Linked DNA regions of Coturnix japonica. The protein of the gene in region 4 interacts with the protein of the main gene of each other region in a pairwise test. Links are inferred from orthologs where the notes say so. Each region holds a gene or a part of one and is shown on either strand. Other genes may lie near its edges. The genes, in order: KATNAL1, YWHAE, NECAB2 and KLC4.

What was found.
Region 1: the proteins of KLC4 (region 4) and KATNAL1 interact in binary tests that used the Homo sapiens proteins (3 or more experiments, as listed by UniProt). The two-hybrid records come from large-scale screens. The link is inferred for Coturnix japonica from reciprocal best matches to the Homo sapiens genes KLC4 and KATNAL1.
Region 2: the proteins of KLC4 (region 4) and YWHAE interact in binary tests that used the Homo sapiens proteins (3 or more experiments, as listed by UniProt). The link is inferred for Coturnix japonica from reciprocal best matches to the Homo sapiens genes KLC4 and YWHAE.
Region 3: the proteins of KLC4 (region 4) and NECAB2 interact in binary tests that used the Homo sapiens proteins (3 or more experiments, as listed by UniProt). The two-hybrid records come from large-scale screens. The link is inferred for Coturnix japonica from reciprocal best matches to the Homo sapiens genes KLC4 and NECAB2.

Annotation. Positions count from the first base shown.
Region 1 is NC_029516.1:156,738,090-156,746,237, forward strand, and holds the start of KATNAL1 (katanin p60 ATPase-containing subunit A-like 1), read left to right. Parts: upstream 1-3,971; 5' UTR 3,972-4,104; exon of another isoform or gene 4,105-4,201; intron 4,202-4,292; exon of another isoform or gene 4,293-4,401; intron 4,402-8,148. UniProt on the Homo sapiens protein: Regulates microtubule dynamics in Sertoli cells, a process that is essential for spermiogenesis and male fertility. Severs microtubules in an ATP-dependent manner, promoting rapid reorganization of cellular microtubule arrays.
Region 2 is NC_029534.1:3,987,090-3,995,113, reverse strand, and holds the start of YWHAE (14-3-3 protein epsilon), read right to left. Parts: upstream 4,081-8,024; 5' UTR 3,944-4,080; coding exon 3,880-3,943; intron 1-3,879. UniProt on the Homo sapiens protein: Adapter protein implicated in the regulation of a large spectrum of both general and specialized signaling pathways. Binds to a large number of partners, usually by recognition of a phosphoserine or phosphothreonine motif.
Region 3 is NC_029526.1:163,416-170,861, forward strand, and holds part of NECAB2 (N-terminal EF-hand calcium-binding protein 2), read left to right. Parts: intron 1-4,247; coding exon 4,248-4,384; intron 4,385-5,248; coding exon 5,249-5,367; intron 5,368-5,464; coding exon 5,465-5,544; intron 5,545-6,108; coding exon 6,109-6,165; intron 6,166-6,275; coding exon 6,276-6,388; intron 6,389-6,557; coding exon 6,558-6,635; intron 6,636-6,944; coding exon 6,945-7,036; intron 7,037-7,159; coding exon 7,160-7,188; 3' UTR 7,189-7,446. UniProt on the Homo sapiens protein: May act as a signaling scaffold protein that senses intracellular calcium.
Region 4 is NC_029518.1:3,526,303-3,533,748, reverse strand, and holds part of KLC4 (kinesin light chain 4), read left to right. Parts: coding exon 1-61; intron 62-237; coding exon 238-468; intron 469-823; coding exon 824-902; intron 903-988; coding exon 989-1,214; intron 1,215-1,510; coding exon 1,511-1,598; intron 1,599-1,995; coding exon 1,996-2,097; intron 2,098-2,417; coding exon 2,418-2,591; intron 2,592-2,739; coding exon 2,740-2,839; intron 2,840-3,324; coding exon 3,325-3,377; intron 3,378-5,128; coding exon 5,129-5,196; intron 5,197-5,277; coding exon 5,278-5,386; intron 5,387-6,055; coding exon 6,056-6,205; intron 6,206-7,446.

The DNA.
Region 1 (8,148 bases), on a different chromosome or scaffold from region 4:
TCTCTCTCTCCACTATGAATTAAAACTAAAGGAAGTCTAATTTAGATACACAAGTCTACAAGAAGATGTCTACATCTGAACAGTTAAATGCTGTTTGGTTAAATACGATAACCAGTGGCCATGCCTACACTTACTTTCTGACTGAATGGAAATCTCATTTGAAAAGCAACTGCTTTCCCTTGAACTGCTCTTTATAAACAGTCCATGGCATTTGAGATGTACCTTGTGTGAAAGACGTTGACTGCATCCTTCTATGTTGCTATTCCATCACAAACTCTGTCTGGAGGTTCAGGCTCTGATGGAGCTTCCTAGAAAAGAAATGAGTAGATGTGTCAACGTGATAAATTTCACCCAATAAAAATATCTAGGCAGGAGAAGAATTACTATGTGTGTATGGAAATTAACAGTGTGTATCTACTGCTGCCTTCACTAAGTCGTGCATAACTTCCCCCAGAAGGTTAATGGCCATGAATATGTAACATCCTCCTTCTTTTCTCAATTGCTTCCCTATTGTTTTTTACCTTCTATTATTACAGCATTTCTCAATGTAACCCACAAGACCTTTGGTAAAGAGTTATGTTTGCACGTGAGCATTAAACATTATTACAAAGGCATAATAATTCCAGTAGTCAAGTTAAATATAATTGCAAGGGGAAGAGAAGACAAAAGCAAATGGCAGTTCACAATTCATAGGTATCTCACTCCACACTCTCAGTCTTTTCCTGTAGCGTGTGGGAGAAGATTACCAATGAAGTTCCCTGATACTCTGTGCTAAGAGCCTCTACCAGCGACCTAAGTTAGACACAGTCTATGGAATTTATGTAACAACAACCAAATCAACTTAGAAACCAGTTTTGTTAATCTGATACAGACCCTAACTGTGAATAGCTTTAAACTTACCTGACAGCACCTGCAATTATTCTACCTTAAGAGACACTTCTGAACCAAATCAAACATTCACAGCAAAAGAGCTCCATTAATTTCTACCTGCTTCTGACTGAACTGACTAGAATAAATCAGAGAGAGAGGGCATGCAATCAGCTCAGCTGGCAGATTTGCAGATCACTGCAAAGGGGCATGATAAGTCTCTGGGGTTCAGCTGTGAGTAATGCCCTTCTCCACCACTACAGCTGGAGCCTGTCTAACCACAGCCAGTGACAACCGCCAGCATCATCTCTCATCCCAAGCTGCCTTTATCAAGACAGTAAGAAGATGTAAGACCTGAGAATACACCAACTATAGAAGAAATTTCAGTGTAGTGTCACCCTCACACAAAAACTCGCTTCACTCTCCTTGCCTGAGATCAGCAGGCGTTGTCAGACAGCAGTTGGTGAAATTAAATACATGCGTGAGTCCCAGCTGTTTTAATACAATGTCCAAAAAATTAGCTCAAACTGTGGATAAAGATCAGTTTAATGCCGTATTTGATATTAAAATGTATTAGAAACATTAGTGCTTTCCATTCCAGCAACTGTTGTGGAGGCAAGAATCTTCAGTCAAGAGGCAGAACAGACGGTCAGGGAAGCAATATTTCTTAGATCACCCCAGCCAGAAAAGCTGGAGTTTTCTGATCACAGCAGCAATAAAAGCAATGAAATATCACACTCGTGGCTACCATTCTTTTACGTTATTAGCAAATTTATGAATTCCCAATGGCTGTCAGCCCTTCTTCTTTTTGCCATTTCTTATATCAAAGACCATGCAGACAAACTCTACTGTGAGAAAGAGGCTGGACAAGATGCCCTTCCAAGCTCCTTTCAGCCTGAATTGTCCTATAATCCTTACGTACATTTAATGTCCAGGGCTAGGATTTGTGCAGACACTTCCCAAAACAGACCTTCCCTTTGAGAGGTCCAACAAGAGTGGCAAGGAATTGCTACTGTGCTCAGCAACTACTCCTATAAGGGAGACAAGAGGGAGCAAGGATACCCTACACCACTAGGAAGCAGAACAACTTGCCTCAACTACTGAAAACACTGAAGGAAAAACACACACAATACAGATGTTATGACTAACTAACCAACTTCCCTCTGTCACAGTTTCCCAGATGAGCCTCAGACAAAGCAGTTTAATGTGCTGTCTAATGTGATACGAGGTACAATAAGTCTTCTGAGAATGGATTATGGTGGCATAGGGCTGTGTAATGTCTGCTTTCCCAGGGAAGCATTTAGGGTCTCCAAAGTCCGCACAGCATCTATGCCTTTGGGTATGTGAAAGAACAGCAGGGATTGATGTAATGGACAGGAAAGTTTGAAGAAATCTGGGGAAAGGGAAAGCCAGAGCTGCAGCTGTTATGAATTCATCACAGTTTTGGCTCCAGTTCTAAAACACTCAGAAAGGCCTATGAATCTCCACACGATTTTCAGGGAGGATATGTACATCTATGAGTGACACATCAACACATGCTGCATTGTTTAAGTGGTGCTCTGAGCATCCAGCTTCAATCCCTGCTCTTCCACTTGCATCAGATAGCATTTCTGAAAACCTTAGAGCAACATACAACCTCACACTGCTACCTTAAGATCGCAATTTACATTTTCCAGACAGATCACATTGCCATTGGGAGCCATCACCAGGCTGTTATTAGCAGGATGCTCTCAGCACTGTCACACAGGAGCTGTGGCAGCAGGGAGTGACTGCAGCAGTGCAGTGTGGTCTCAGTGGGCTCCTGCCTCCACCTCTATCCTGGTGCTTGCTGCAGCTCTGCTGGATCACCTCGTTCAGGAACAGGCCCAGCTGAAAGCCAGCTATTTTCTACAGGGGCATAACTGGCTGTCAGCTGGATCAGACCGCAGGCGTGTCATGCCAGATGGCAACACCAGGGTTATTGCTTTGTAAATAAATAGGAAAACCCACGCAGGATCAGAGGAGAAGGCAGGACTGCCCTTCTGGTGGCAATACGGGCACAGGACTGCCCTTCTGGTGGCACTATCGTACGCCTTGGTGCTTGGGCACAGGACTGCCCTTCTGGTGGCACTATGGGCACAGGACTGCCCTTCTGGTGGCAATACGGGCACAGGACTGCCCTTCTGGTGGCAATACAGACACAGGACTGCCCTTCTGGTGGCACTATGGACACAGGGACTGCCCTGTCTGGTGGCAATACGGCACAGGACTGCCCTTCTGGTGGCAATACGGGCACAGGACTGCCCTTCTGGTGGCAATACGAGCACAGGACTGCCTTCTGGTGGCAATACGGGCACAGGACATGCCCTTCTGGTGGCAAACGGGCAAGCGAGACTGCCCTTCTGTGGCAATACAGACACAGGACTGCCCTTCTGGTGGCAATACAGACACAGGACTGCCCTTCTGGTGGCAATACGGGCACAGGACTGCCCTTCTGGAACTACATCCTCAGAGAGGTGCGTACCTCAGCAGATGATGCCCTGTAAGGCCATCCGCTGCCATCAGGCGCTGCTTTAGCCCAAGGAACAGGAAAATCCCTAGATCTCGTACATAGAAGTGACACAACCCCATAGCAAAGGCCACATCCCGTGTGCCTGCCCAGGACAGCGGTGCATTTCCCTTCTCCAAACCGCTCCCCCAGCTGCCATGGAAGCAGCCGAGCTCCTCATTCCGATCTAAGCGCGATCCCTGCAGGCACACACACAGGACACACCCGCCACCCCCCGCAGGCGCACAGGGCTTCTCCTTTGTTTCCAGCCGGCCGGAAAGCCGCGCCCCTTCTCGCTGCGAGCCCGCGGGCTGTTAGCGGCACATCCCGGCCGCCTATCGCCTGTAGCACTGCCGAGCTCACCCCAGCCCCGGGCCGCCCCTTACAGGAGGCAGCGAACCGCCGGCCCTGAGGGGAGGCCGCGCCCGTGGGCGGGCTCAGCTTCATCCCCGCCCCCCCCCGCCGCCATGGCAACCGCTCGTCGCCGCCACGCGCGCGCGCCCCTCTCTCCTCCCCCCCGCCCCCCTTCACCCATCGCTCGACCCCCGTCCCGATCCCCGCACCCCCCCCCCCCCCCCGCCCCCCTTCACCCATCGCTCGACCCCCGTCCCGATCCCCGCACCCCCCTCCCTCGCTCCGCTCGAGAGCGGAAGAACCGCGGCCCCTTCCCCGCTCCGCCGGCACCGGGACACGCACCCCGCTCCTCCCAGGTAATGGCGGGGCCGCGGGGCGCTGCGGCCCAACAACATCCGGCCCGGCGGCGCTGCCCGTGCCGCTGCGCTGGGGGCGGCCGTGGGCCGGGGGTGGGGGCGGCCTGCCGCATGGCACGACGGGAAGTGTAGTCCCGCGGTACCCACCGCCCGCTGGCGCTGAGCGGAGGAGCGGCGGGTGGAGACTACAACACCCAGCGCTCCCCTGGGGGACTGCGGGGGGATCGGCCCTCGCACGGGAGAGCTCTGCAGGCCCAGCTCCATCAGTGTGAGGGGATGGAGGCCGAGCCAGGGGAGGTGAAGAGCGGAGCCGACAGCGGGAGGGAGCGTGACCCATGGGGCTGGAGGAGGCTGTGGGGGAGGCGGGGGGCTGATCCTGTTCGATCATTAATACAGCTGAAGGTTTGAGTTATCGTAGAGGTGTTTGAGTTGGAAGGGGCCTTTAAACGGCACCTCATCCAACCCCCCTGCAGTGAGCGGGGACACATACAGCTCCATCAGGTTTCAAAGCCCCATCCAACCCCCCTGCAGTGAGCAGGGACACATACAGCTCCATCAGGTTTCAGAGCCTCATCCAGTCTGACCTTGAGTGTCTCCAGGGTTGGAGCATCCACCACCTCTCTGGGCAACCTGTGCCAGTACTTCACTTCTTTTACTATAGAAAACGTTTTCCTTATGTCCAGTATAAATTTCTCCTCTCATAGATTGAAACTGTTTTCCCTTGTCCTATTGCAGCAGACCCTTATTATAAAGTCCTAAAGAGCAAATTCTTTGAATTTCAAAGGGGAATTTGAAAGAAAGGAAAGCATCCAGCTTAAATTCAGACCCTATGAGTCAGGGTTATAAACACGTGTGAGTCCATTAAGCCTGCAATTATTCATGGAAAGTTTATCTGGCTTGCAGATCAGCTTCGCTAGGAATGTAGCAACAGCAGAACTGAATCTCTGTGTAGCTGGCTTTGTTCTGACAGCGCTTGTGAGTTGCAGTGGTGTGGGAGCATGAATGTGCGGTATTCAGGGCCAGGTGCAGGAGCAGTTTAACTTTACTGACTCAGAGCCTGACCTGATGAACACTTTGAACCCAAGCTGGTTCTGCACAGACCCATCTTGGGAGTCTTTGGTGACGTGCTTGCTCCGCCAGAAGAGTTTATGCGTGTGATGTGGAGAGAGATGGAAGAGTTACTGATCTGGGCTGTGTTCTGCAAGCCCTGCAGAGGCCTTGAAGCATCTGAGCCCTGCATCCTGCTGAAGGAGGGGATCCACCACCTCTAGGCTGGTACCACGTGGGTGCTTAAACCTGCTGTGTGGCACTAATGCTAGAAGTGCAGGAGACCATGTTGTAGAGAAGAGATGCTGAAGCCAACTTGAGTCCAGCAGACAGCAAAGATGCTAATACTACAACCTAAAGCACACGTGCATGAAATTATGCTCCCTCGAGTGCCCAATAGCATTTGTATTCACTGCTCTGATTTCAGTGATTCCTATTAACCTGAGGTGAATATCTTCACTTCGTTTGAAGATGTTTTTTCTTTCCACTTGCATTTTAAGTTAGCTCTTAGAAGAATCCACACCAGTTGTTTGAGGCCTTTATGCGTGTCTCATCTTACCAGTTCCATTCACGTTTTCCCATTATCTCCACATCTAATGTTTCAAAAGGGGGGTTCAGTGCAAAGAAGCCCAACGCCACTTAACAGAAGGCAGATAACCAAAGTACTGAAACTGAGCCACAGTTCATACTTATTGATACATATGCATACATATGAATAAGTATGATATAAGTATATATACACAGTTCATACTTGTATATATTTTAGCAGTAGTAGTTATGCAGTGAGGTAATGGTTGTTAGTGCCCATCCACATTTGTGGGGCTGTTTTCTTTCCTCCCTGACAACATTCCAGGTAGCGTTTCAGTTCATGCTTCTACTGTTGTCGTGTTGTTGCATGTCTCTGTTTTGACCTCGAAGGGAAAAATGGAAAGTAGGATCTTTAGTTTTTATCAGGTGAAAACAACTGGGGGAGAAGAGGATGTTTGAAAGTGGTCCCTCACATTGGTTTTCTGTCTGCACAACATCAGCGCTGTGTGGTTGTTCTGCAGATAATGAGAACCAGAATTAGTAACTAGTCTTCGTCTGTGGATGCCCAGGCCTTGCCAGATGTTCCGCTGCCCAGTCAGCACAACTGCACAGCTGCTATGACGTGAGACCATCTGTCCAGAAATCTCAGGGAGCTGTGGAAAATTTTTGGACTGCTCGGGTCAGCTTCTGGTCAGAAAAAGATGCAAGTCGAGGTTAAAACATAAGAATCATAGAATCAGAACTTGTGTAATACAGCCCTATCTGTGGGGAAATAACAGTGATTAGGAGAGAAGACTGACTAGCAGGCAGTAAGCAAGGCTTGATGTGACTACTGAAACTGTGAGAATAAAGAAGAAACGAGGAACATTACACATGCACAATTTAATGTATGTCGTTCAGTGCAGGCGTCAAATGCCTGTGGAGAAAATGGGACACAGTTGTGTAATCGATTGTCTCAAAATACATTGGCATGAACGAGAAACAGAAAGATTGCAAAGATGCTTTTTGTGTTGGCGTTTGCAAATCTGAGTGTGTAGTAACAAGCAAGAGGAAAAAATCCTGCTGCAGACCCTGCCTGAAGTGAGGACACTGATTGCTCCTGGCAGCACCCAGTGAATGTGGATGCAGATATGGGCTTGCATGCACACCTCAGCTGGAGACAGGGTGCTGAAGGAGCAGTGCTGCACTCCCCTTCCTGCCCATCGTCCTCACTGGTGTATCTCTGAGTGTGTCATGTTTTAATACTTAAAAAAAGCCCATCTTTTGGATCTTGCTCAATTGTGCGTTGCATTGGTTCTGGGAGAAAAATTCTTCCCTGACCCCAGCTAGGGATCACCTCAGCTTATGCTCCGAAGAATGGAGACTAATATCCCCTGTGACCTTTTAGCCGTGCTGCTGCAGAGTTTTAACAAGTGGGCTTAAGACCCTGTGTGTGGCAGCTCTACTGACGGAACGTCTGTAATGTCTCTTCTTGTCAATGATCCGTGAACTGAGGAATCTCAGAGGGTACCTTGATGTACAGTGGAGCTGTTATGGTCTGGTGCAGGAGAGAACCATACAGTGCTAGGATGGGAAGTTGGTGTCATGAGGAATGTGTAAGTTGTCCTAAATGTACTTGACAACAGTTGTCCCTTGCTATGCATTTACTTAAAGGTATGCGGTTGTAGCACAGCAAGAAAAACAAATATTTTAAAATTACACAAAATTATTTATGCACTTTCTGGCTTCTTTGATGGCGTACAATGTATGAACTCCATTATTTGATGCAGAACAGATAATAAAAAACCATGTACAGAATATGGAAAAACCCTCCACCTAGTTCTAGCTGCCTCTTCTCACTGGTGTGAGTAAACAATTGAGGGAAGAAGGCCTTCCCCAGGTTTGAACCATGGGAGTTTGAACACACTCCTGTTTGGATGTTGTGTTGAGGAGTATGATTTAGCTGGGAAGTATTGGTAATGGTTGGACTAGATGATCTTCTAGGTCTTTTCCAACCTTGATAATTCTGTGATTCTGTGAACTAGTCAGTCCTTGCAGTAGGGCCTCAGAGCCTGGTAGGCCAGTAGGGCTCCCAGTAGGGCCTGGTCATAAGGGGAACTCGCTCTTACTTAGGACTGAGGTCAACAGATGCTGTTTCCAACACATCTCATGTAAGTGGATGATGTTGCGGTTACCTTCTCATGTCAGTATTACCTGATTAGGTGATAAGTAAAATTGAAATACCCAAATGCAGGAGATTCTGCTAGTCAGACTAGCTCTGGAGACATCAATAGGCATTTCCCTATTGATATGATGCTGTAGGAGCACGTGTACATGCAGTGATTTCTCTGTGTGCTCCAAGATACATAGAATCACTAAGGTTGGAAAAGACCACTAAGATCACCAAGTCCAACTATCAGCCTATCCTCACCATGCCCACTAACATACTTTCAAGTCTATACTTTAATATTGCTCTCTCAAACGTTTACT
Region 2 (8,024 bases), on a different chromosome or scaffold from region 4:
CAAGGACTGAGTCTCATCATACATTTCAGTTTGACTGAGATCTGCTACTTAAGAGTCTCCTAATACAAGAACTTGAGTAAGTTAATGGACACTAACCCAGTACGTGGGCTTCCTGCAGGGCACTGAGCCATCTAAGGTTGGATGCTCAACACTTCTGGTATCTCAGACGTTTCAAGAGGCAAATTATCAAAGGTCCTCACACAGCTCTGCTGGGCAGAGGGGAATTACACCCCTCAGATGCATTTATATTATTTACTTGAAAGAGGACCACTGCAAACTGAAAATTATGAGCAACTTAATCATTCATCTATCTCATAAGTGAGAATTTGATTCTTCAGCAAGCTGTAATTGCAAGTCCTGCTACTGTGAGCCAACTCATTCTACAATATGTTCAGATTTTGGATTCAGTGCACACCTTGTTGCCTTCAGAGGGAAGGTTTGCTTCTCTGGCAATGAGTTAATAGCAACACAGGAGTTACATGTTGACTTGCTGTACTGGGAATCAGGAGAGCTGTCAATTATCTTCTTCCCAGCTGTAAACAGAGCTATTATCCTCACCTGCTACACCCTGGGTAAACTTCAAATGATGTATTTCAAGATCTGTGGCACAAATCTGTTGGCAGGACTGAAGCACCCACAGGATTCACTCGGAGCTTACCTTCTATCCTAGCATGCTTCTCTACTGATGAGAAGAAAGGTGCTACCTAGCTTCTGCAACAGAGAGTTAGTTTTGACATTCAGCAGTCCATGAGAACGCAGATACATACAATCTTTTGATGTGAGAAAGTAAAGAGTTAGTGATTTCATAAACCAACGCAATTTTATCAACTCCAGTTGTTTCCCAGAAAAGACATTTTATATATATTACGCAATTGGGAACCATCTTTGAAGGAACTCAAAGGGTTTTCACTCAGGGTGGTGACGCACTGGAACAGGTTGCCCGAGGAGGCTGTGGATGCCCCATCCCTGCAGGCATTCAAGGCCAGGCTGGATGTGGCTCTGGGCAGTGGCGACCCTGTACATAGCAGGGGGGGTTGAAACCAGATGATCATTGTGGTCCTTTTCAACCCAGGCCATTCTGTGGTTCTATCAAGTGCAGGTAAATGTGATTTTTTTTTTCCTCAAGTACGATTTGTCACAAAGCTTTCTCTAATACAAGTAGGCTGCCCGGCATTTTGTGATCTGTCATGACACGCCTGGGTAGATCCGTAAAGACAGACACCCAAATCTCTTACTATCTCTAGGGATCACAGCTTTAAGCATTATTTACACTGCAGAGGCACCTAAGAAAGTTGTCCTCTTAATCTGGGCCGATACACCAAGGGCTGTACAGAGACAGAACTACATTCCCAACAACTGGCAGGCACAGCCTGCAAGGCTTCAGAACTTAAGTGGGTCATGTAACTAAAAAAAACCCAAAAAACTTATTAGATTCCTACCTTAGAAGCTGCCTCAAATGCCATGGACCATGGCTGTTCTAACCACACAGCACGCTGAGCCTCACTGAGAAAGATGTGGCAGAACGTAACGCTATCCTAACATTAAACATCAAAAATTGTCATTTTACATTCATATTCAAGTCACAGAACAGGTTTCTATTCCAGCACATTTGTAGCCAGTACTTACCATCAGTAGTATCTGGAAGTTATTCACTATTACCTCACCATCATGTATCTCAAAGGTAAAACTAAAGAATGAAACTAAGCATCACTTCACTTCCCCACAGCATTTCATTCACATTGAGCAGCCTCAGCACTTACTTTCATGTAAATGAGAATATACTCTTCACTTTTTAATTGCTTCCAACTGAACGATACAGAATTAGATGCTAAACCTGTACCTACAGTATTTATTTTTCCAGGCCAGGGACAGAAAAAAAGGCGGAAAGCTATAGAACAACATGGAGAGTTAAGGGATGCACCTTAAATTTGTTGATTCAACTCCATGCCAACAAATTCTGCAAGTCTGAATCCCACAATATTGCTTTAAAGATAAGAACACTATGATTATCATTACCTCCTCAGTGAGGGTGTTCTTATTAACACTCAGAAGCCACACAGAAGCCCTCTGAATTCTGACCTAGGCAATTCATTCTTCAAACACCCACTGGAGCATTGGGATTGGAAGCCCACTGACTGCCTTTGTGTGGCATTTCTATCTCTATCAACCTTTTTTGATAAGGAAATCAGGCTGTGCTGCAGATTTCTACAATAAGGGAAGGTCTGATTGCTTTCCAAAGAAGTGACTTCCCATTCAGCTAGGAAAGCATCAGTTATACCTCAAAAGGATGATGTATCCCCCAAACATCCTTAGCCTGGAGTTCCATTCAAACCACAGCTCACCCCTGCGCTGAGGCTCATCTGTACCAGGTGAACAAACCCTCCCCCACACACACCCCAATACTGCTGGATTTGTGGTCTTTGTGGAAGATGGCAGCAATGAGAACAATGCACCTTCCCATCCCACACTCCTAAGGAGACAAAAAAACCAAGATACCCCAAATCTACACCCCCCTCCTCAACCACTTGTACCCACAGATGTTGCTCTCCTACTATGAGCTGCATCTTACTTGAAGGGGTGGGCACAAGTCACCCCACAAAACCTGCTTTGGGGGACGTTTTTTCCCCCAAGTCCCTGCAGTTACAACAAGGAGACTATCTGGCTGCTGTCACTCAGTACGATTCTTATTCCTACCCCATTTCTACCAGAACATTCACTGCAGATGGTCTTAATTACTCCTTCATTTCTGTTTTCCTCCCCCAAAAGGTGTATTTCTCAGCTTTGGAATCCCATTATCAGAAGTTTTCTAAGCAGTAACTCAGAGAACAAAGCCTAATTCTCACCAGCTGACTTCCCTGCTCTGTGAAAACCCTGATCAATTAAAGGACCCAAAGCATCTCCCCACTTCTAAATGAAACCTAACTGTACTCCCACCCTTTACACACACACCGGCTTTTCTTCCACTTGAAATACAGATCTAAGGGCAGAAATAACAACCCCATTGAGAAAATTAAAGGCCCTTTCTTCTATAGGCAAGAAAAGCACCTTGAAGGGAACAGTCACACGGCAGACATTTTGGGGGCAAGAAATACCATCCAGGGCTGCCAGCTCCTCCCCACCGCCCCTTTTTTTTCCCCAAGATATAAAGGGATCAGAGCTCTAATTTCATAAGGCAAATGAGGGAAGGGGGGGGGGAGGAAAAAAGAGACAAAGTGGGAACGTAAAATGGTCTGTAATGATTTCCAGCGTGTAATGAAAGCATGTGTTCTTCCTTCAGGTAATGACGGGCAGTGCCAGACGGCTGCAGGGTGAATGAGAGCCGTGCCTCCAATGGAAAGCGAAGGGAGAGAAAGAGAAGCGCCATCCCGCTCCCTCGGGTCCCTCCGGCATCGCCCCCCCCGAGGGGCCGGCACGAACCTTCCGGAGAGCGGGGCGTTGTCTGCGGCGAACCGAGCTCAGCCCCACAGCGCCGAGCTCCGCGGGGCCGCGGCCGGAGGGAAACGCAGCACTAAGGAGCCGCCCGGCACCGCCACAGCCGCCCGCACGGCGCTAAGCAGTGGGGTCTCTTTGTCGGACCCCCGAGGCGGGGGCGGCTCCCCCCTTCCCCCCCCCAGGACTCGCCCTTCGCGGCCGCCATTTTCTTCCCGGCTTCTGCCGCCACCGCCCCCCGTAGCGGGCCACGCCCAGGCCGAGGCCGCCCGCTCATTCAGGGCCCCCCATCCCCGGTTCCGCGGCCCTCGGGGCGCTCCCCGGCGCCATTTTGTCGGCGCCCCCCTCCTCCGCCCCTGCCCCCCCCACCCCCGCCCAGCCGCCATTTTGTGGCCGCTCCCTCCCTCTCTCTCCCCTTGGCCTCTCACGGCCTTCCCGGCCGCCGCTCACCATCGTAACGTTCAGCCTGTTCGGCCAACTTAGCCTGATAGACGAGATCCTCCCGATCGTCCATGTCCTGCAGGCGGAGCGGCGTCGGGGAGCGTACGGGGCGGATGGAAGCCGATGGGTCTGTGGGGCTCAGCAGCTACCAGCTCGCTGCTCTCCGGGCAAATATGGCGGCAGCACCTCCTCCCGCTGCATCCGGGCACTTCCACAACCGCGCGCATGCGCCCTACGGCATCCCATAGCAACGGCGGCTCCTTAGTAACGGGCGGGATGTGGCCGGGCCGGGGTTGGGACCGGCCGCCATTTTGCTGTTGAGCGGCGGCCGTGAGGATGCGGATCCGCCGCGATGTGGAGGCCGAGGGCCGCGGTGCGGAGCCGGTTGGGGTTGGGGGTGCTGGTAGGGAGCCCTGCTAGTGTGTTAAAGAGCCGGGTGGGGGTGCGGGGAGGATCGGAGTGGCCGGGTTTTCCCTCAGTCTGGCTGCGCTTTTCTCCTTCCTCTCAGATCTGGTGTATTCAAAGTACAGCGGCCTTTCCCTGTTGTATTCGTCCCGGGTATAGGAATGCCTGTAGAAAGGCAGGCTGTGTGATGGGGGAGCGCTGTGGCTGCCATCACTGACTGATCACTGAGGGGATGGAACTGGAACGTGAGAGGAATGTGGCATCAATTCCTCACAGAGGCCTGAAATCCACCGAGCAGGCATTGAAAGCGTTATGATAACACCCCCCCGTTTCCCAAATCAAAGAAAAAGCAAAAGAAAAGTGATTCTGTTTGGCTAAGATAAACGTGAGGTTTGTTCAGGGTGGGTATGAGCTCGTATCCGCTATGAACAGGCTCGTATCTCTTTTTCCAGTGTCTCCTTGGATGGGCTGAAGGCTCTTGGCCTTCCTGAGGTGTGAGAGCCCACAGAGGCCATTGCAGCTTCTGATACGCAGCAGAGACAGAGCATCCCCGGCACCTCTTGGACAGAGCTGAGTATCCATTTGTGTTCTATGTTGTGCCCACTGATCAGAGGCACAGGTTTAACCATCGGTTTATTGTCACCTGATTCATTTCATTGCATTATTTCAAGTTAACGAAGACTTAAGGTTGTGTAAAACTGACAATTGGATGGTTTGCTTATGGATGTACCTAAAATATTACTATGATTTTTATAGAATTATATAGAATCCCAGCGGATTACGGTCAGTGTATTTGTGTAACACTGCGCAACTTACAATCACCTCCGCCCTTCATAAATCTTAACTAAAAAAGCCTATTTTCTCAGCAGCTAAGACTTAGTTTTGTGTGGGACTGTACATGATCAATTCGATTTGCCTCAACGTAGGGACTTTACTTGATCCTCAATTTCCTGATGCAATCCTTGCCTTGTCCTTTGCACACACAACATTTACACACATTGATTGGGCTGCTACTGCAACAGAAAGTCACCACTGCAAGAAGAAGCAATAGAACTCTGCATAAATCCTTCATGACAAAGCCATGGAGACTTGCAAATACCAATAGTGAGGTAGGTGAGCAAGGAGTAAAGCTGAGGGCAGTGCTTCTCCCTGTGGAAATTTATTATATGAGGCTGATGGGCTTATTGTGTGGACAGGAAAACTGGCATCTCAGTATAGTTAAGTGCAAAGTCCCACTCGAGGACTCCACTAAACAGTACTGATGAGGAAAGTTATGTGTAGTAACCTGCCAACTGAATACCAAGTAACTAAAATACTGAATGCTTTAATTGTAATGTAGTGAAACAAATGCCATTGTTGAACATACCAGCAAGAAAGGATTACTGACATCAAGACTCCTCCCTGCCTACTCCCAGAACCAACATACAGTGTAGTAAAGCGTTATTAAAATATATATAGTATATATTTAAAATATATATATACTATAAAGTATAAAATATGGCCTATTCTATGCAGTGAGGGCCTTGTGAGCTAAAGAGCACCCCCAGAAGGCCAAATGTTTAGGAGTATTTTCATTTAAGTCATCTCAAGAACCCCCAAACTATTTTCTAATGCATCCCTACAGTTAGAATTGAGACTAATAACTAACAAGTCTCATTTTTACTTTCTTCCTGAGTCCTCCTCCTGCAATGAGAATAGTTCTCCCTCTCCCCCTGGACTTAAGGAACTCAGTTAGTTACAGCCATTCACCTTTCACACCATCAACCTTTTCTGGTTGATAACTCCTTTTAGTCATCTCATCTTCCTTCTGCAGGTGTTGGGTTTAATTGTTTTAACATAAACGTGCTCAGTTAAAGAATGGGACTTAACAACACTTCTGTTAATGTATTCTTAAACACAAGTATTACAATAACAGCCGATTGAGAATGACACCAAGCCAAAGTTTTGGCTATACTTTTATTTACTTCACATACTATGAACATATACATTACATGCTACAAAAAATAATTAAAAAAAAAAAAAAAAAGACTTTTAACTGTCAAGAAAGTGGATAGTGTTATAATACAATGGCACATGTTCATATTCTTCTTCAAACTGGTTTGGTTAGAATCCTTCCCCAAAACCATTAACAAAACCAAAGTGTTTTATTCTTAAGATGATTAGAAATATTTGCATTATTAACAAATACAATTCAAACAAGATTAACAAGATTTAAACCAGGTCAAATATTAGTAAAAAGGCTGGGGTTTACCAAAATGAAATCTATATTAAAAAAACATAGCAGCCAGTTGTACTTTTAGTGTGATATAATGTGTAAATGCACCAGAAGAACACAGTGTAACTGAGCATCCTGCTTTCAAGGTGTGTTTCTAGAAATGATTATTCTAGTTCTAACACCTGCCTATGCACAACAGAGCAAAACCACAGTCAGAGACAAAGGATTGTGACCAACGTTCTTCGCAATGATTCTTTGCACGCATTGGGAAGAAGGGAGGGAACAAACAGAAGAGGATAAACAAAGGCCACAGAGGGTTTAATCTACATGATCATGAACGTATGTTCTACCTATTTGCCTTTAAAAGAGCTCGGTAAGTTGAAATGTCTATTTTGCAGAAATGCAAACATTAATTTCTATCATCTACGGGAAAAAAAACACACATTTCAGCTTAGAACCAAATAGTAGAAAACAGTTGCGTGGATGTATTGGTTGACTAAGAAAAACTGCTTGACAAGAACTTAGGATTCTACTGCAACAGCAGCTATTAAGACTCCTCTGGTTCCATTTTTTGCTCTTTCAAAGCGTACAAATATTTGCAATTTATACAGTCTTCACAAAAACACATCTACCAACTTTGCAGGGTATTTGCTAGTTAACAACTCCATTGATGTCTTTCATATTAAAAAGGCGAGGTTTGCATCATAAAATTCAAGAAGGAAAAAGTTATTTTGCTATCTTAAAATACCTGCTGATTGGAAAGGTATAAATGTATGGGCTTTAATTAATTGCAACTGGAAAAATAAATGCTTTGGAACAAACTGTGTCACTCTAAGAACAGTTTGTTGTGCCGCTTCTCTAAAACCTGAAGTCTTAGCATATATGGGCAACTGATCAGCTCAGTGTTAAGCCTGCATTAGAATGTAGTTAGTGAAAAATCAGTGGCAACAAAAAGTAAAGACCAGAGGAAAAATACAGCTTAGCCTTAAATAGATCAATTTGTTCCTGACCCTTGAGTTTGGTTCTGAACTTATCTCCTCAATGGAGGCTGAGTACAGAGCTAGAAGTGATCTCACCATCAGAGCAGGGGATCACCCTGACCAGGAGAACCATCCAAGCTAGAATAGCACTGCTATTCCTTCCTTACTGTTACTCCGTCACTGTTATAACAACAGTCATTTTGCTAATAATCTTTAGTACTGCTTAAGGGATTGGTGACAGAAAAATACAATTAACGTATGTTGGCATTAGTTTACAGAACGATCGGGTGCCCATTACCTGAAAATTAGACTTGCTAATGAATTAGTTCTGAAGGAAAGCAACTAGTACTTAAATATAACAAATATTAACGTTTCCAGCATGTTACACAGTTCTGAGGTAAAGTGTTACCAGTATTCTGTCTGCTGGGTCGGTGCCTTACAGCAATGGCATTTGCAGTGGGAAAACTGGCCCTGGCAGCATTTACAGCCAATGAGACATCCTAGTCTCACATGGTTTGTATCAACCATCTTCAGTTCGATATTACTTAGAAACA
Region 3 (7,446 bases), on a different chromosome or scaffold from region 4:
TAGAGCCCAGAAGGCCAACAGCATCCAGGGCTGCATCAACAGAGGTGTGGCAGCTGGAGTTCTGTGTCCAGGTCTGGGACCTCCAGTACATGAGGGACAGAGCTGTTGGAGTGGAGGAGGATGTGGAAATGGTCAGAGGTCTGGAGCCTCTCTCCTATGAAGAAAAGTTGAGAGAGATGGGCTTTTCAAGATAAGTCCCTGGGCAGACCTCATTGTGATCTTCCAGTACTTGAAGGGAGCTTATAAGCAGGAAGAAAACCCACATTTTACTTGGGTGCATAGTGACAGGACAAGGGGAAATGACTTTAAATTAAAATAGGGGAAATTTAGATTAGGTTTTAGTAAAAAATTCTTTGCTCAGAGGGCAGTAAGGCCATGGCACAGCTGCCAGGGGCTCTCCCTGGAGAGCGCTAAGGGCCAGGCTGGATAGAGCCCTGGACAGACTGCGCTGGGGGGGCACCCAGCTCACAGGGTTTGAAGTAGAAGATCTTTAAGATCACCTTCAAAATGAAGCCATTCTGTGGTTCTGTGATTCCCATTCTCTCCCACCTGAAGGCTATTGATTGTGAGGTCAGAGAGGTAAGATGTGTAGTCAGAGGGCAACTGCATGGACAAGGTGTAAAAAAGCCGTTCTATGGCATCCTGTGGATCAGGATGTGTATGCTATATATGGGAAGCACCTCTCTTAACAAGGAGAAAGACGTTCTGCAGTGAACTGCTCAGGAAGGGCACTGCAGGAGGTGACAGGACTTGGGTCAAGAGGAGTGACACTGAGCTGCCCTCATCAGGTCCTGCCTTACCCTGGGAACAGCCCCCTGCCCCCAGCCCTGGCCTCAAAACACAGCTGAAGAGGGGAACCTGTGCAGTCTGAAAGAGGTTTTCAACAGAACAGTGTGATGGGATTTATAAGGGAGGAATTTATTATCGTTATGTTTTTAAATGCATGCAGTGCCATTGTTTTTTTTTTTTAATCTGAACAGTTGTCTAATTTGTTTCCTCCGCCCCCCCCACCCCCCATTTCAGGTAGGCTGAGAGTCTTTCATATGATAATGTTCTCATTTATCAAATATTTCAGTGTCTGTTCTCCTCAGATTTCTACTACTGATTATGTGCCAGGCAATCAGTTCTTGGCCTCTGCTTCTGGTGGGAGTTAAGAGCATAGAGCAGGGAAGGAGCAAGAGGAAGGTCTGGGTGTTATTCTAATTACAAGAAAAAAATCTCTTGGTAGAAAGCAGGCAATTAGGAGTGAGGAATTAGAATCGCTGTTCTGAGGCAGCATTGCTCTACATGGCTGATTTGTGAAGTGTTGGGTGGTGGGAGATAAACCTGATGTAATCCAGGGGGAGGCTCAGTAGAGGAGCTTCATGGCCATGCCAATAGGTTTTCCTGTTGCTTTGGATTTTTTTAGTGTTTTTGGGTTTTTTTTTAAGAAACAATTGAAGGAACATAATTGGCTTTGGTTTTGCTCGAGCAGCCTCATCAGTTCAGAGCCTTGGCTCTATTGATGTGCTTCATCTGGGGTCAGTGTTCTTAACAACTGGAGAAGGTGCCAGGTCCCTGAGCTCAGCAAATGGCACCCAGTTTGGCCGTTGTCACCCAAAGGCAGTGCTGGGAATGCTGGGGCTCAGTGCTGAGGCTCTACAAGGCAAAGAGATGCAGTGGGGCTCTCGGTGCCCATGAGCGTCATTTATTGTGTCATTTTCACATCCTGGAGTCTTAACAAGATGAATGGTGACCTTTAGAAATGTCAGCAGAGAGGCTTTAAGATGCTCAACAACATCGACAATCTCCTTTTTCAGCCATTTGATACCCACAGGAAAACAGTTACAGAAGCCCTATTCTGGGGACCAGTTTGCAACACCCAGCGAGGGAAGTTTGTCTCCAGTGTCAGCAGGTCCAAGAGCTCAAAACACCAAAATTACATCCTGGGTTTCCACAGGCAGAGGGTGGCACAGTGCTTTATTTTATCTGTGCCAGGATTTCAAGCTGCAGAGAAAATGTGATAAGTCTCAGGAGAGACTGAAACCCAGCACAGCATAATGTGGGGTTCAGCATCTCCTGTCGGACTTCTGCCTCTGCATTTCATTCCTCTGATACAAACATGGATCTGCTGCTAATTAGCGCCATCAGACCAGGCTTGTTAGCACAATACTGTGCAGCAGGGCAGCATCTCTGGTGCCAAAGCCTTTCTAGCGTTGAACTAATGAACCAGTTGGATGAAAAAGAGAAGCCTTCTGAGATACACCCCTCCAGGGTCTCATGTCACAAAGCGGCAATTATTTTATTATCCCCATAAATATTTTAACTTCCCAGGCAAAAGAAGAAGGAAATATCTCTTTGGGTAGAATTAATAAGACCAAACCTCATTACATCTCCCTAGAACAGGCTCACAAATGTTTTAATAAGACCACGGGAAGGATTCCTCTGGAGTTGGCTGTCTTAATGACTTATTTTTGCAGTGCCAAAGGGGACATTTGCTCCAGCAGAGCTGGAGGGATTGCCAGGGAGCTCAGAGCACATTGCTGAGTGCAGATGTCACAGTTGGGATGGCAGATGTCCACAGTTATTCATTAAATGAGAAGAAAAGAGAAAAAATCATTGATTTTCATTTCAGAGCTATTGACCCACATGGGACTCCTGTGGTGGCCTCAAAAGCACAGAGGCATTAGTGGTTTTTGGGAGGAAAGAAGGATGGCTTTGGGAAACAACTTGGATTCACCCTTGTGGCCATGAGCGAGCGCTCCCTGGGATGTCAGCTCTGCCTTTTGAGCCACTTGGCCCATTCCCTGTACCCAGAGCTCTATAGTACCCAGAGCTCTATAGCTGCTCAGGTTTTGAAAAGCACAGTTCAAGAAAATCATCCTGAAATCACTTCTAACACACTGGGATTTTAACAGCTCTGCAATCAGCTGTTCACATCAGCAGCAAGCAGCTGCTTTTTAAGCTCCTCCATTTCTAACCCAATGGCTTACTGGTACCCACACAGACAGTGCTTCCAGTTCTTCCTGTGGAGACAGCAACATCACAGGGCTGTGGGTTTTCATTGACCACCATATCAAACCAGTGCCTACAGGAGAGGGCAGAGACAAGCTTCTCAGGATGAACACTGCTACAGTTCACCTGTGGAAACACCACAGTGAGATTTGTGGCTCATTAAGAACTGAGCATTACTTTTCTACTTCTTCATGAGGTCATCCGGTGTCCCAGGGCAAAGAACACTAACACCAAATGCATGTATAGTCCACACCTTCTTAAAACCTTTTGTTTCCCAAAAGGAGCAGGTTCACGTGCCTGACTTGATGAGAAATTGTGCGGTGGTGCTGGTAGGATGCAGGCAATGGAGTCCTGGTGGGCAGCAGGAAATTGGGGCAAATTGCAGCACGGCTCCTGGTTTGTTTTATCAATTTGTTTCCAGACTCATAACAGAGACTGTGCACAGCTCAGCCTTTGTTTTCAGCTGGGGAAAACTGCAGAGGGGCTCATCATTGCTCCAGTGATGCCCCAGCACCTGCAATCAGAGCAGGGCTGGTTGCTCAGGCTTAATCAAAACTCATCTGTAATTATAGCCAAGCCTGCTCAAGTGCCTGATTAACGTATTTATGCCTTGGTTTTGCACAGGCTCCCATGTGCAAGGCCCTAGGGAGGAATCAGCAGTGAGGGGGAATTGCTGAAGAAATGGATTCAGATCCCAAATGCAATTATATGTTTTTTGCCAAGGAGATTTGTCAGTTTAATAACCCTCCTTAGCACGAGTGTGAATACTGGGAGAAATTCAGAAATTCAGGAATATTTGGGAATACATCTATCCTTTTCCCCACCCGAATGCTCAGCAATTGTTCCCACACAACGTCCTTGCAGACTGGGGCATCCCACTGAAAACCATTTATTTCACCCCATTGAAGCCCTCTTTGGGAACACCTGCTCCTTTTCACAGCAGTCTCTATCACACAGAAGATAGATAGATGGATGGATGGATAGATAGATAGATAGATAGATAGATAGATAGATAGATAGATAGATAGATAGATAGATAGATAGATATAGATAAAAGGTGTAATTTGCTCAGTTCAAACCAGTGGGGATAAATCTCTTTGAAAGCCTGTTTGGGGCTGAACAAGGTGAGATGGAGCTCTGTTTGGAGCAGGGCTGAAGTGAGGGTAGTTTTGTTTACCTGACTTGTGTTAATTTATCAGTGATTATCACCAGACCCAGCTGAGCAGTATCACTGTGCTGTCCCTGCCTGGCAGGTGTATGAGAGTGGCAGCAACGTGGACCAGTTTGTCACCCGCTTCCTGCTGAAGGAGACGGCCAACCAGACCCAGTCGCTGCTGAGCTCGGTGGAGAGCGCCGTGGATGCCATTGATGAGCAGACCAACCCCTCCAGGTCGGCCATTTCTCCTTCCCTCCCCACTCCATCCCTGCTTCACAGCTGGTCTCATTATGATGCGCTTTTACAGGGCTCCTGGGGATGATGGACAAAGAGGAACTGGTGGAGCAGCTGCCTTTGCCAGCTTCCCCAGGAGCTCTCAGGGCTTTCCTCTGAGCAGAGCCCCCCTTGGGATTTAGTGTCTGTGTCTGGGATGTGCTGGGACAGTCCATGATGTCTCCATCCCATTCCCACTCTTTCCCCTGTCACATCACTGTTTCATCCCCATCCCTGTCCCCCATCCTCAGGAGATCGAGCCTAGGGGAGGTGGAGGAGATTGCTTCAAGATTCATCTTAGCCAGAGCTGAAATAGCAAGGAGTACCTGCAGCACTCCCCAAATAGCCCCATTTGAGGGTAGTTTGGGATGCTGACCAAGTGGCTCTGCCATATGCAAACTGAGAGGGCCGTGGGTGCCATGGAGTCCCCGGACTGTACTGGGAGGAGTGCCCCGGGTGTCTGTTGGCTTCATTTCCCCATTGTGGAAGGCTGAGCAAGCTGTGGTGTAGGGCAGGTGGGAACAGCACAGCCTGGTTTGGGAGTGCTGAGGAGGAAGTAAGAATCAGTGAGAGCTGCTGGAAGTCCTCACTGTCTGTTGTTTGCTGGTGTGTGGACCTGGCTCATCATGAAGCCATTGGAGCTGTGAGCTGTTTTCATGGTGAAAATCGCTAAGGAAAAAAAAAAACACCAAAAAAACAAAAAAAAAACAAAAAAAACCCACCACCCTGATCTCTTGCATCAGAGGTGGCCTAAAAAGCGGGGAACCAGAGGGCTGTGAGATATCTGCCCAGCAGTGCCCAGCACATCTCCCTGATCCCTTGCAGGCAGTGCCCTGGCCCAGCTGGTCTTGCTCTGACAGAGCCGTGGTACAACAGCCCTGTGCCCAGCTACGCACCCCCTGCCCGGATTGTGCCTCAGGGCCACGGGAAGAGCAGCCAGAGTGGTGAGTGGACATGGCTTCTGCTGCTCCAGCAGCCCGCTGCTCCCAGCTGCTGGGTGGGTGGATGCCCACAGGCACTGTTTGCTCTGTGTTCCTGCAGGTGCCCCTGAGCCCAGGCAGGACGGGCTGGAGGGGCAGATCGGGAGGTTGGCTGCACTCATCAGCAGGCTGGAGGACAAGGTAGGGACTGTGCATGGCTGCCATCGCTCCAGCCATCTCCACCATTGGTGAGAGTGCCATGGGCTTTGCTTAAACTGCATGTTCCTATGGATGAAGGAGTTGAAGCCTCTCACAGGGGTGACCTCGTTCCATCCAGGGACAGGCAGAGGGAATGCTGAGGTACTGGAGGTGTTTCTGAAACCCAAATGTTTTCAGGGCAGAAGGGTGTGGGACAGTGATTTTCCTTGGAAGAAGCATTGTTGGCAGTTTGGGGCCATTCTAAGGCAGGTGGGGTGATGTGAAGCCGTGTGCCAGGTCCCTATACCTCACCAAGGTCCCCATTGTGCCACGTGTCCCCAGATACTAACTCACACCTGGTGCTTCCCATGGATACAGGCCAGGCTCCTCCAGGCTTCCAGTGCATCTGGGGCAGGGGGTGACTCCATTCCACTACCTCCTGATGGGGCACTGTTGCCCCCAAACTACTGCAATGCTCCTACTGCACCAGGGCTCTCTCAGTGGCTGTCCCCTCACAGTGGACACCCAGAGGGACACAGTGCCCCATCCTTCCTTTTCCCTTTGCAGACTCTCTGGTTTGACCTGCACCAGCGGCTGTCAGACAGTGAGAGCACAGCCTGCATGGTGAGCATGTGGCTGTGCTGCCATCACCACCCCATGGTGTCCCCACAGGGTGTCCCTGGGGGGGATACTGCACACACTGGGTCACACATCCTGCTCTGTCTCCCCCCCAGTACCTCCTGCTGGTGCGGGATGAGATGACGGTGTCACACAAGCACCTGGGCGAGTTCTGCAGCTCCCTGAAGCAGTACCTAAAGAGCGTAGCCGGGATGCGGGAGTGCTTCCAGTGGGTACTGGGGGGGGCACCTGGAGATGGGGTCAGCAGGAGGATGGAGTGCTGGGAACTGGGGGCACCCTCAGTGGCTGCAAGGACAACAGCCTGGGGTGCCCCCATGGTGGGGGCTGTGGGGACTGGGGACGCCCCCAACAGCTCACCCTCACCCCACCACTGCCAGCGTCACTGCGGTCAAGCTGCCTGACGGAGTCACCTTCATCGTCTATGAGTTCTGGGAGACCGAGGATGACTGGAAGAGGTAGAGGGGGATGGGTGGGTAGCTGCCAGCTGGGGAAGCTTGTAGGGATGGGAGCAGGGCTTGGCTGAGCTGCTGCCTGGGGCAAGTGGGGAGTCTGCTGCCCACTTTCTGGTGGCAGGAGTGGGGTTCCCAGGGATGTGTCTGCAGGGTTTGGGCACGTTGGATAGACAAGTGGGGTTGGGTGGACAAGGGATGGGGGGCATGGGAGAGGGCCCAGGGAGCAGAGGTCTTGCTTATTTCCCTCAGAGGAAGCTGTGTGGGATGATCTGGGGGGTCAGGATGGTGATTCTGGGCTGTAATACACCGCAGGCACCTGCAGAGTGCCACCTGCAAGGACTTCCAGCATGTAAAGGTGGACGCTCTGAGCCAGCCCGAGGCCATCTCCAGCGTGGCTGTGCCAGGTAGGACCCGGGGTAGGGGCACAAAGCAGCCCCTGGGCAGCGGGGAGCAGAGTGGGTGGTGCAGCTGGGGGGGGATGTGTGCTGCAGTGACACTGGGTGACTCCAGCTGATGTTCCCTTGCAGCCGCCTGGTGCACCCTGAGCCAAGACTGACCATGCAGGGACCTGGCTGTGCCCCCCACCCCCTTCCAGGAGCTGTTACCAGAGGGCAGTGTGATTGTCACCTATCTGCAGCAAAGGAACTCCCCTTGTCCCCCACTGGCAGCACCTCAGCTGCCCCACTCCTGGGGCACCTCTCCCCACACAGGGTGGGCTCTTTGGGGCCTGGGAGGGGGTGGTGATTAGGTGGATATGGTGGGAGCAAACCCCTTGGTGTGCAGGAGGTACATATTGGTGTCTCTGATAGGTAGA
Region 4 (7,446 bases):
GAAATCCAACCTGCTCCGCAAGTCAGTGGAGATGATCGAACTGGGTCTTGGAGAAGCACAGGTGAGGGTGACAAGTGCCATCCTATGTGGTACCTGGGACTGACAAGGGGAGGCAAGTATGTGGCTGTTACCAGTAAGCTGCAGGGGTTGCACTGGGCTGAGGGTGGTCCTCAATCATGCATGAGGGAGATTAAAAAGTTATTGTCAATACTGATTATGACTGGGACTCTTGACAAGGTGATGATGGCACTGTCCAACCATCTGAATGCAGTGGAATCAGAGAAGCAAAAACTGCGTGCTCAGGTTCGCCGACTGTGCCAGGAGAACCAGTGGCTGCGTGACGAGCTTGCCAACACCCAGCAGAAGCTTCAGCGCAGTGAACAAACTGTGGCTCAGCTGGAGGAGGAGAAGAAACACCTTGAGTTCATGAACCAGCTGAAGAAATATGATGAGGATGTTTCTCCTTCGGTAAGTCATTGTCTTGTCAAGCAGCAGCTTTTTTTTTTTTTTCTTTTCTTTTTGTGGGGGGTGTTGGACCAGGAGGATTGCCTGAATGCAACAGCCTTGTTCTGGATGTTAACCATTCCCAGCTACAGTGCACAGCAGTGCTTGTAACTGAAGGAAGTCTGCCCAGGGCAGAGTCTTTGGCAAAACATGGAAGAGGGTGCCAAGATATGGTGGGGGTAAACTTGGTTTTGTTTGGTGGGAGGAGGGTGGTAGCAGGGATGACCAAGGAGCTGAGGGTATTGGTAGCAGCTGAGTCAGTCCAAGCTGCTGTTGTCTTTTCTGAGAATGAACAGCATTGTGATTCCTATTCTCTCAGGAGGAGAAGGAAGGTGACTCCACCAAGGACTCCCTGGATGATCTGTTTCCAAATGAGGAGGAGGAACATGGTCCTGGATGTGAGTGCTTGCTCATGCTTAGTTACTGCCTGTATCTGTTCAAACCTGCTGTGCCAAATGTGCCCTGGTGTATTCTGTACCTGCAGTGCCCCACCAACATAGCAGTGCGGTAGCAGCTGCCCAGCAAGGAGGCTATGAGATTCCTGCACGCTTGCGCACCCTCCACAACCTTGTCATCCAATATGCTTCACAAGGACGCTACGAGGTGGCTGTGCCACTCTGCAAGCAGGCACTGGAGGACCTGGAAAAGACATCAGGCCACGATCACCCTGATGTGGCCACCATGCTCAACATCCTGGCACTAGTGTACAGGTGAGGATGGGGAGGGCAGGACTGGGTCAGAAAGGCTGTCTTCCTCTTCAGTTGATGAGGTTAATACATTCTGGTGACAAGGAATTCTCCCAGCTTCCAGCAGTCTGCCTTTCAAAAAAGGTTTTGGCACAGATTAAGTATTTGGGCCACCAAACTCCCCAGTAAAACTAACCTGAGGAAGGGGGAAAGAGCTGCTGGAGGCTGATCTTTGTGGAGGGAGGAGTGCTGCTTATAGTTCTGCATTCCACAGACTGTGGTGTCCAAACCCCAGGTAACAAATTGGCTTTGCACTGCAGGGATCAGAATAAATACAAGGAGGCAGCGCACCTCTTGAATGATGCCCTCTCCATCCGTGAGAAGACCCTGGGTAAAGATCACCCAGCAGTGAGTATCTGCCTTCTCTTTTAGTCACTTCTAGCCCCAGTGGCATGTACAGGTCAAGAGTGCAGTGCCCCTTTCCCTTGTGACTTGGCTGTAGACTGGCTTGGCTGGTGCTGGGCTGCCACAGATAGCAGTGTGCCCTGTGATGGCTGGGGTGCTGTTTATGTGGTATTATGGGGCACTGTGTTGCTATATCATTTTCTGCTGTCTTGATCAGTATGGCCAATCAGGAGATGGCATCTCCTGGATTCTGTTATGTGGGCAAGATAACTTTCTGCCTCTAGACCTCTTTGTCTCTAGAAGCATCTGTACTTGCAAGGGTGAAAGAATGGGACTGTTACTGCTGCTTGCTCCCTGGGTTGGTTACACTGAATTCACAGAGAAGTTTATGCCTATGCAGGTGGCTGCAACTTTGAACAATCTGGCTGTTCTCTATGGCAAGAGAGGAAAGTACAAAGAAGCAGAGCCACTTTGTAAGCGAGCCCTGGAGATCCGTGAGAAGGTACTGCTCTCTCATGCTCTCCTTCCTTCCAGCTCAACCTTATGGCTTGATCTCCCTACCTTACTGTACCTCAAAGATCTAGGACCCCCCCTAGTCTCTTCAGCTGCTGATTGTGCCACCACCTTTATCTCTCCAGTGTTTGTGGTGTTTAGAAAGGCCTGATGGGAGGTGGGAGCTAGAATTTCTCCGCTTAACCTTTGTAGTCCTTAGCTCCTGGCTGACAAAAGCATGCCCTCTGGGTTGGGCTGGGGCTGCTTGAACGTCCCCCAGATGTTCACTGCAATTTAAATATTGTTATTTTGTGATTTCTTTGTATCCAGGTCCTAGGCAAAGACCATCCTGATGTGGCCAAGCAACTGAACAATCTGGCCCTACTGTGCCAGAACCAAGGCAAATACGAGGAGGTGGAGTATTATTATTGCAGGGCCCTGGAGATCTATGAGAGCTGCCTGGGTCCTGATGATCCCAATGTAGCCAAGACCAAGAACAACCTGGTGAGCTGCTGGGAAGAGGCTATGTGGGGTTGGGCAGTAGTGCAGTAGTAGGCACTGGTGTCTGGAGGAAACAGGGAGGTAGCTGTGAGAAGTGGGGAGGGTTAATCTGTGTTGCCCAGTGGGATTGGAGCTGTTTTCTTGGTTGCAGGCCTCCTGTTACTTGAAGCAAGGCAAATACAAAGATGCAGAGGTGCTGTACAAGGATATCCTTACCCGTGCTCATGTGAAGGAGTTTGGCTCTGTGGATGGTTTGTACACAAGCTACTGGGGCAAGAGTGAACGGTTTGCTCTTCCACCACCCCTGTGGTAGAGGGATGGGGTACCTTGCAGAGCCCTTGTTTTTGGGCAGGCCTCAAAACACTGTCATTCCAGTTTGTTACGCTGCTCCACTTCTCTCAGAAGGAGTCTTAGTGAGCTGTGGCTTTCAGTCTGCTAGGTTGGCAAGCAGTTGTGGCTTAAAGGGGGAGAAGAGCATAGTGCCTCTAAGGTGTGAATTGAAGTTTCTCCTGTAGTTCTGGCACAGGGAGGGGAAGAACTCACTCCCTCTTTCCTATGCTCTGCCCTTGCAATGTCAGTTGCCTTTGGGGCCCTAGCCAGTGACTGGAAGCCCTGTGATGAGCTGCTGGTTTTGGAGATGGTGCTGGGCTGTACAGACAGCAGATCAGTAGTGGAAGTGGCAGAGTAACAAAGTTAAAGTGGTGAGTAGAACTGTCTCTCATTTTTCCTCACGCAGATGAACACAAACCAATCTGGATGCATGCAGAGGAGAGAGAGGAGATGAGCAAGGTGAGTGAGAGCTCGGGGTGCAGCCTGTTGACAGTAGCAAGAGCCCCAGAAGGGGAAAGAGATTCTGGGATTTTGATCCCCTTGTATCACAACTAGTTTCTCCTTTCTGCAGTCTGAAGAGCTGCTGTGACCACTGATAAAGGGTAGGAATGGTGTATGGAATGGGAGAAGTGAGATCATTCCTTGGGGCAATGAGGAATGGAGGCCCATCAGAGGACCTGATATTTTCCTTGAAGTGGGGAGTTATTCAGTACCTCAGCCTCTCTTTGCTTTAGTGAAACCTTTAAGGCAAGCGGACAATGGAAGGGTGGTGGATGGCGGAGTTATGCTGCAGGGTTTTGGTGCTTGTTCCAAAGAGCTGCCAGTACCCAGAGTGTGTCTTGAGGCTGCCTGGGGAAGAAATGGGTAGAGAAGAGATACTGTTGTCACCTTGCTTAGCAAGTAGGACCAAACCTTATGGAAAAGAGCTCCAGACAGGTTTCTAGCTGTTCAGTGTCTTAGCTGGCTTCTGAATGAGAGTGGAATGGAGTTGTTCTTGCCTTGGATTTGGCTGAGAGACATGGAAGCTGTTGCTCCTGTTTCCTGAGCTCTGCTTTCTGCTGCATCTGACAAATGCAGTGGAGTTCAGTCTGATTTTTGCCAGGAGGACAGAAAAATATGCTGGCTGTGGCACTGCTTTGCAAGAGAAATTGGGTGGAGTAGGGCCCAGGCTCCCCTTCTTACTCTGGGATTGAGATGCTTCTTTCTGATGATGACTTCAGAGAAGTGCAAGAGCATGGGCAGACTGTTGCAGTGTGGAGCTATGCTCCACTTAACACAGGCTTTGCAGCAGGGGTGAGAGAACAGAATGCCTTCAGGAAATGGTCTAAATCTGCTGTCCAGACCAGGCCCCTTGAAACTCTACTGTTTGTGTCCCCTTTTCTCCCAGGCCTATAGGATCTGCAGCTGGAAATGTAATTAATTTTGCAGCCTGGGCAAGAGCTGAGCTGCATTTCCTGCCCCTGAGATGGCTGTCTCTAGGCAGCTGCCCAGGCCCTGTGGCATAATACATCTGCTGAGGTGTTGGTGACCACAGCCCTTGAGTCTAGGTTCTTTCTCCACTGACAGACATTCAACAACCTTCCCCTTGGGTTTGGTCACCTTGGTTTTGAGTGCTGAGTGCTGGGCTCACCCAGGCTCTGATGCAAAGAAAGCCAAGTGTGCCTATGGCTTGGGAAAGTACCTGCATATGGGATAATGATTCAGGAAGTTCTGTTGGGCTTTGTAAGGAAAATGGTCCCTGCAAGGGCAGTTTCTTCCAGGCTGGGGCGATTGCCAGAGGGAATGCACAGCTGTGGAGCTGCTGGCACAGGCAGGACCAGTTTCATGGTGCAGAAGCTATGGGATTTGTGGGTTTTGGTATCCCTTTGCATACTGGCATTGGGAGTGCCACGTACTTCAACCACTGCTTTTTGTCTTCGTTGTCCTTGCTACGTTTGGTACCACAGAAAGGCCAAGGAGATGGGAATGTGCACTCTACTGGGGGGAGGGCATCATGTTGTCTTGTGTCTCAAATGATTTGCAGCAAAAAGGGCTTCAGCCTTTCTTTCCAGGAACCTGCTGGGACTTCACTGTGGTATTCACGTTTTGTGTTTCCAGGGGCTGGGCTGGTGTGAGGGTACAGCCTTAGGCCTGACCCTGGTGCCCAGTGTGAGCACAGGCCAGGGAATGGCACTAGGCATGGGGCTAACAGCTGCCTTTTCACCCAATAGAGCAAGCACAGAGACAGTGCTCCCTATGCTGAGTATGGTGGCTGGTACAAGGCCTGCAAGGTTAGCAGGTAAGAGAGGTTTGTGGGCAGCTCTAGGCAGTGGGTGAGGTGTCCCCAGGGCTCCCACTCACCTGCTGCTTGTTGCCACAGCCCAACTGTGAACACCACTCTGAGGAACCTGGGTGCGCTGTACCGGCGCCAGGGCAAGCTTGAGGCCGCGGAGACCTTGGAGGAGTGTGCGGTTCGCTCTCGGCGGCAGGTAACCCCAGAGGGACCTTCACTGGTGGGTGGGGGGATGCTGTGGGACTCAGGGTAGCAGGTTGTGACATTACTATGTGTGCTGAGGGATTGTGCTGTGCCTTGCAGCCTCCCGTCTGTGGTTTGCATTCCCATAACACCGGAGCAGCTCAGTGGTTGGTCTTCCGTTTGTGCAGGGGGATATGCATGTGTTTGCATATGTGGGATTGCACTGGTGTGTGCATATGTAGATGGAACACCTGTTGGGGTGTAGAAATCCTACAGCTATGGCAGGCTACTGAGCTTTGTCAGCTGAGAGGAGTCTGCGCTTGGTGGGGTGCATTCTTCCTACTAATGTGTCCAGGAATTTCAGCTCCTTCACTAGGAAATCCCTTGTGTATATACCCAGCATGAAGAGTGAAGGACAGCAAAAACCCTCACACATCAAAATGTGAAAGGGGGGAGAGGAGGGGAAGCTGTCAGCGTTTTGGGGCAGCAAGCTCTTGTCACTCAGGGTGGCTTATAGCTTGTAAGGCATTCCCTGAATAAAGGCTACTGAATTCAGGATGCTCTTCTTGTTTGGAAGAGTTTTGTCTGTGCTGGGACAATGACCAAGAGAGGGAGAAGGACCAGGCAGATAATAGCATTGAAGAGCCAAGACTGGTGCTTCCTTATTCCTTTCTACTTGCAGGGCATCGACCCAATCAACCAGACGAAGGTGGTGGAGATCCTGAAGGAGGGTGATGGCACAGAGAGACGTCGGAGCCTGGGTGGCAGCGTCAAGTACGAGAATGCCACAGACGGTAGCGAGGAAGTGAGTATGGGCGTGGAATGGAGTGGGGTAAGTACAAGACACCATCAAGAATGGCCTCAGCTGGCTGCTGGAGGGATGGGACAGCCTGGCTCAGGGCTGTCCCTGCGTGGCCTGTCGTGGCATCCTTGTCTGCCTCCATTTGTTCCCTGCACACTTCCTTCTCCTCTTTCTTGGCATGAGCCAGTCAGCCCACAAAGGTGTGTGTCTGGGCCTGGCTTGTCATGTACAGGCCAGACACTCTGAAAAGTTCTCACTTCCAGAGGGCTTCCAGTTCCTGGCAGTGCACAGCATGAGCTGTCCTGGCCTGCTCTTAATCTTAGCCTTGGCGACCTTATTAACACCTCTCCTTGCTGCCTCTCCTCTTAAGGCTGTGGCTGACTGTCAGCCCCATCTTAGGCCCCCATAGCCTCTAAGCAACTTGCCTTTCTGTCCTGCAGCGCGCCACAGGTGATGCTGGGTCTGGGGAGGTGTGTGTGTGTATGTGTGTGTGTGTTTGGTGGGGCTGTGCCTGTGTCTGCAGTATAAGGAAATAGTCCATAGCTGACACCTTTACTGTCCTCTTATGGTCTCGTGCCCCTCTGTGGGCTCTGGCCAAGTAGAGGTTGGAAAAGGCAGGTTTTCTTGGGGTGCCTAGCTGGGCTGATCGGCGGTGGCAAAAGAGGATGCTGTTAGCTGAGGCTTGTACAAGGTGACCCTGAGCCTACTGTGCTTGCCCTGAGACTGGAGGGCACTGTGGTCACCAGTACTGAGTTTGCAGGAAGGTAGTGGTCTAGGTCTGGGGCAGGTGGTTTCTGCAAGGAGGAGGATGGAAAAGAGGCAACAAGTGAGCAAGGTGCTGGTGGATGCTTGGCTTGAGGGCTGCTGGAGCTGTTGATGCTTACCATTCCTCCTGCAGTCTCTGGCTGAGAGTATAGTGTAGCTGGCACCAAGGGCTGTTTGCAGCCTGGCATAAATGATGCACTGAGCATGAATCCTCTACTCCCCCTTACATCTGCTGTCACTAACCCTTCCCCACGTGGCCATCCTCACCTGCATGATCTGTTCCCCTTCTTTCTTCCTCTTCCCTGTTGCCATGACAGTCCCTCAACATCCAAACCTAAAGCCTGGCTCTCTTGATTGTGGATTGTACCCTGGATGTGGCTGGAGTGGGCCTGGGGAACTGAGCTTTGAAGGGGCCCAGCAGCTCTTCCAGATACAAGGCTGTCCTCTGCCTCAGCAGTTCATCTTCAAGGGTGAAGAGGATCTCAGTCCTGGCCCTCGCATTCCCT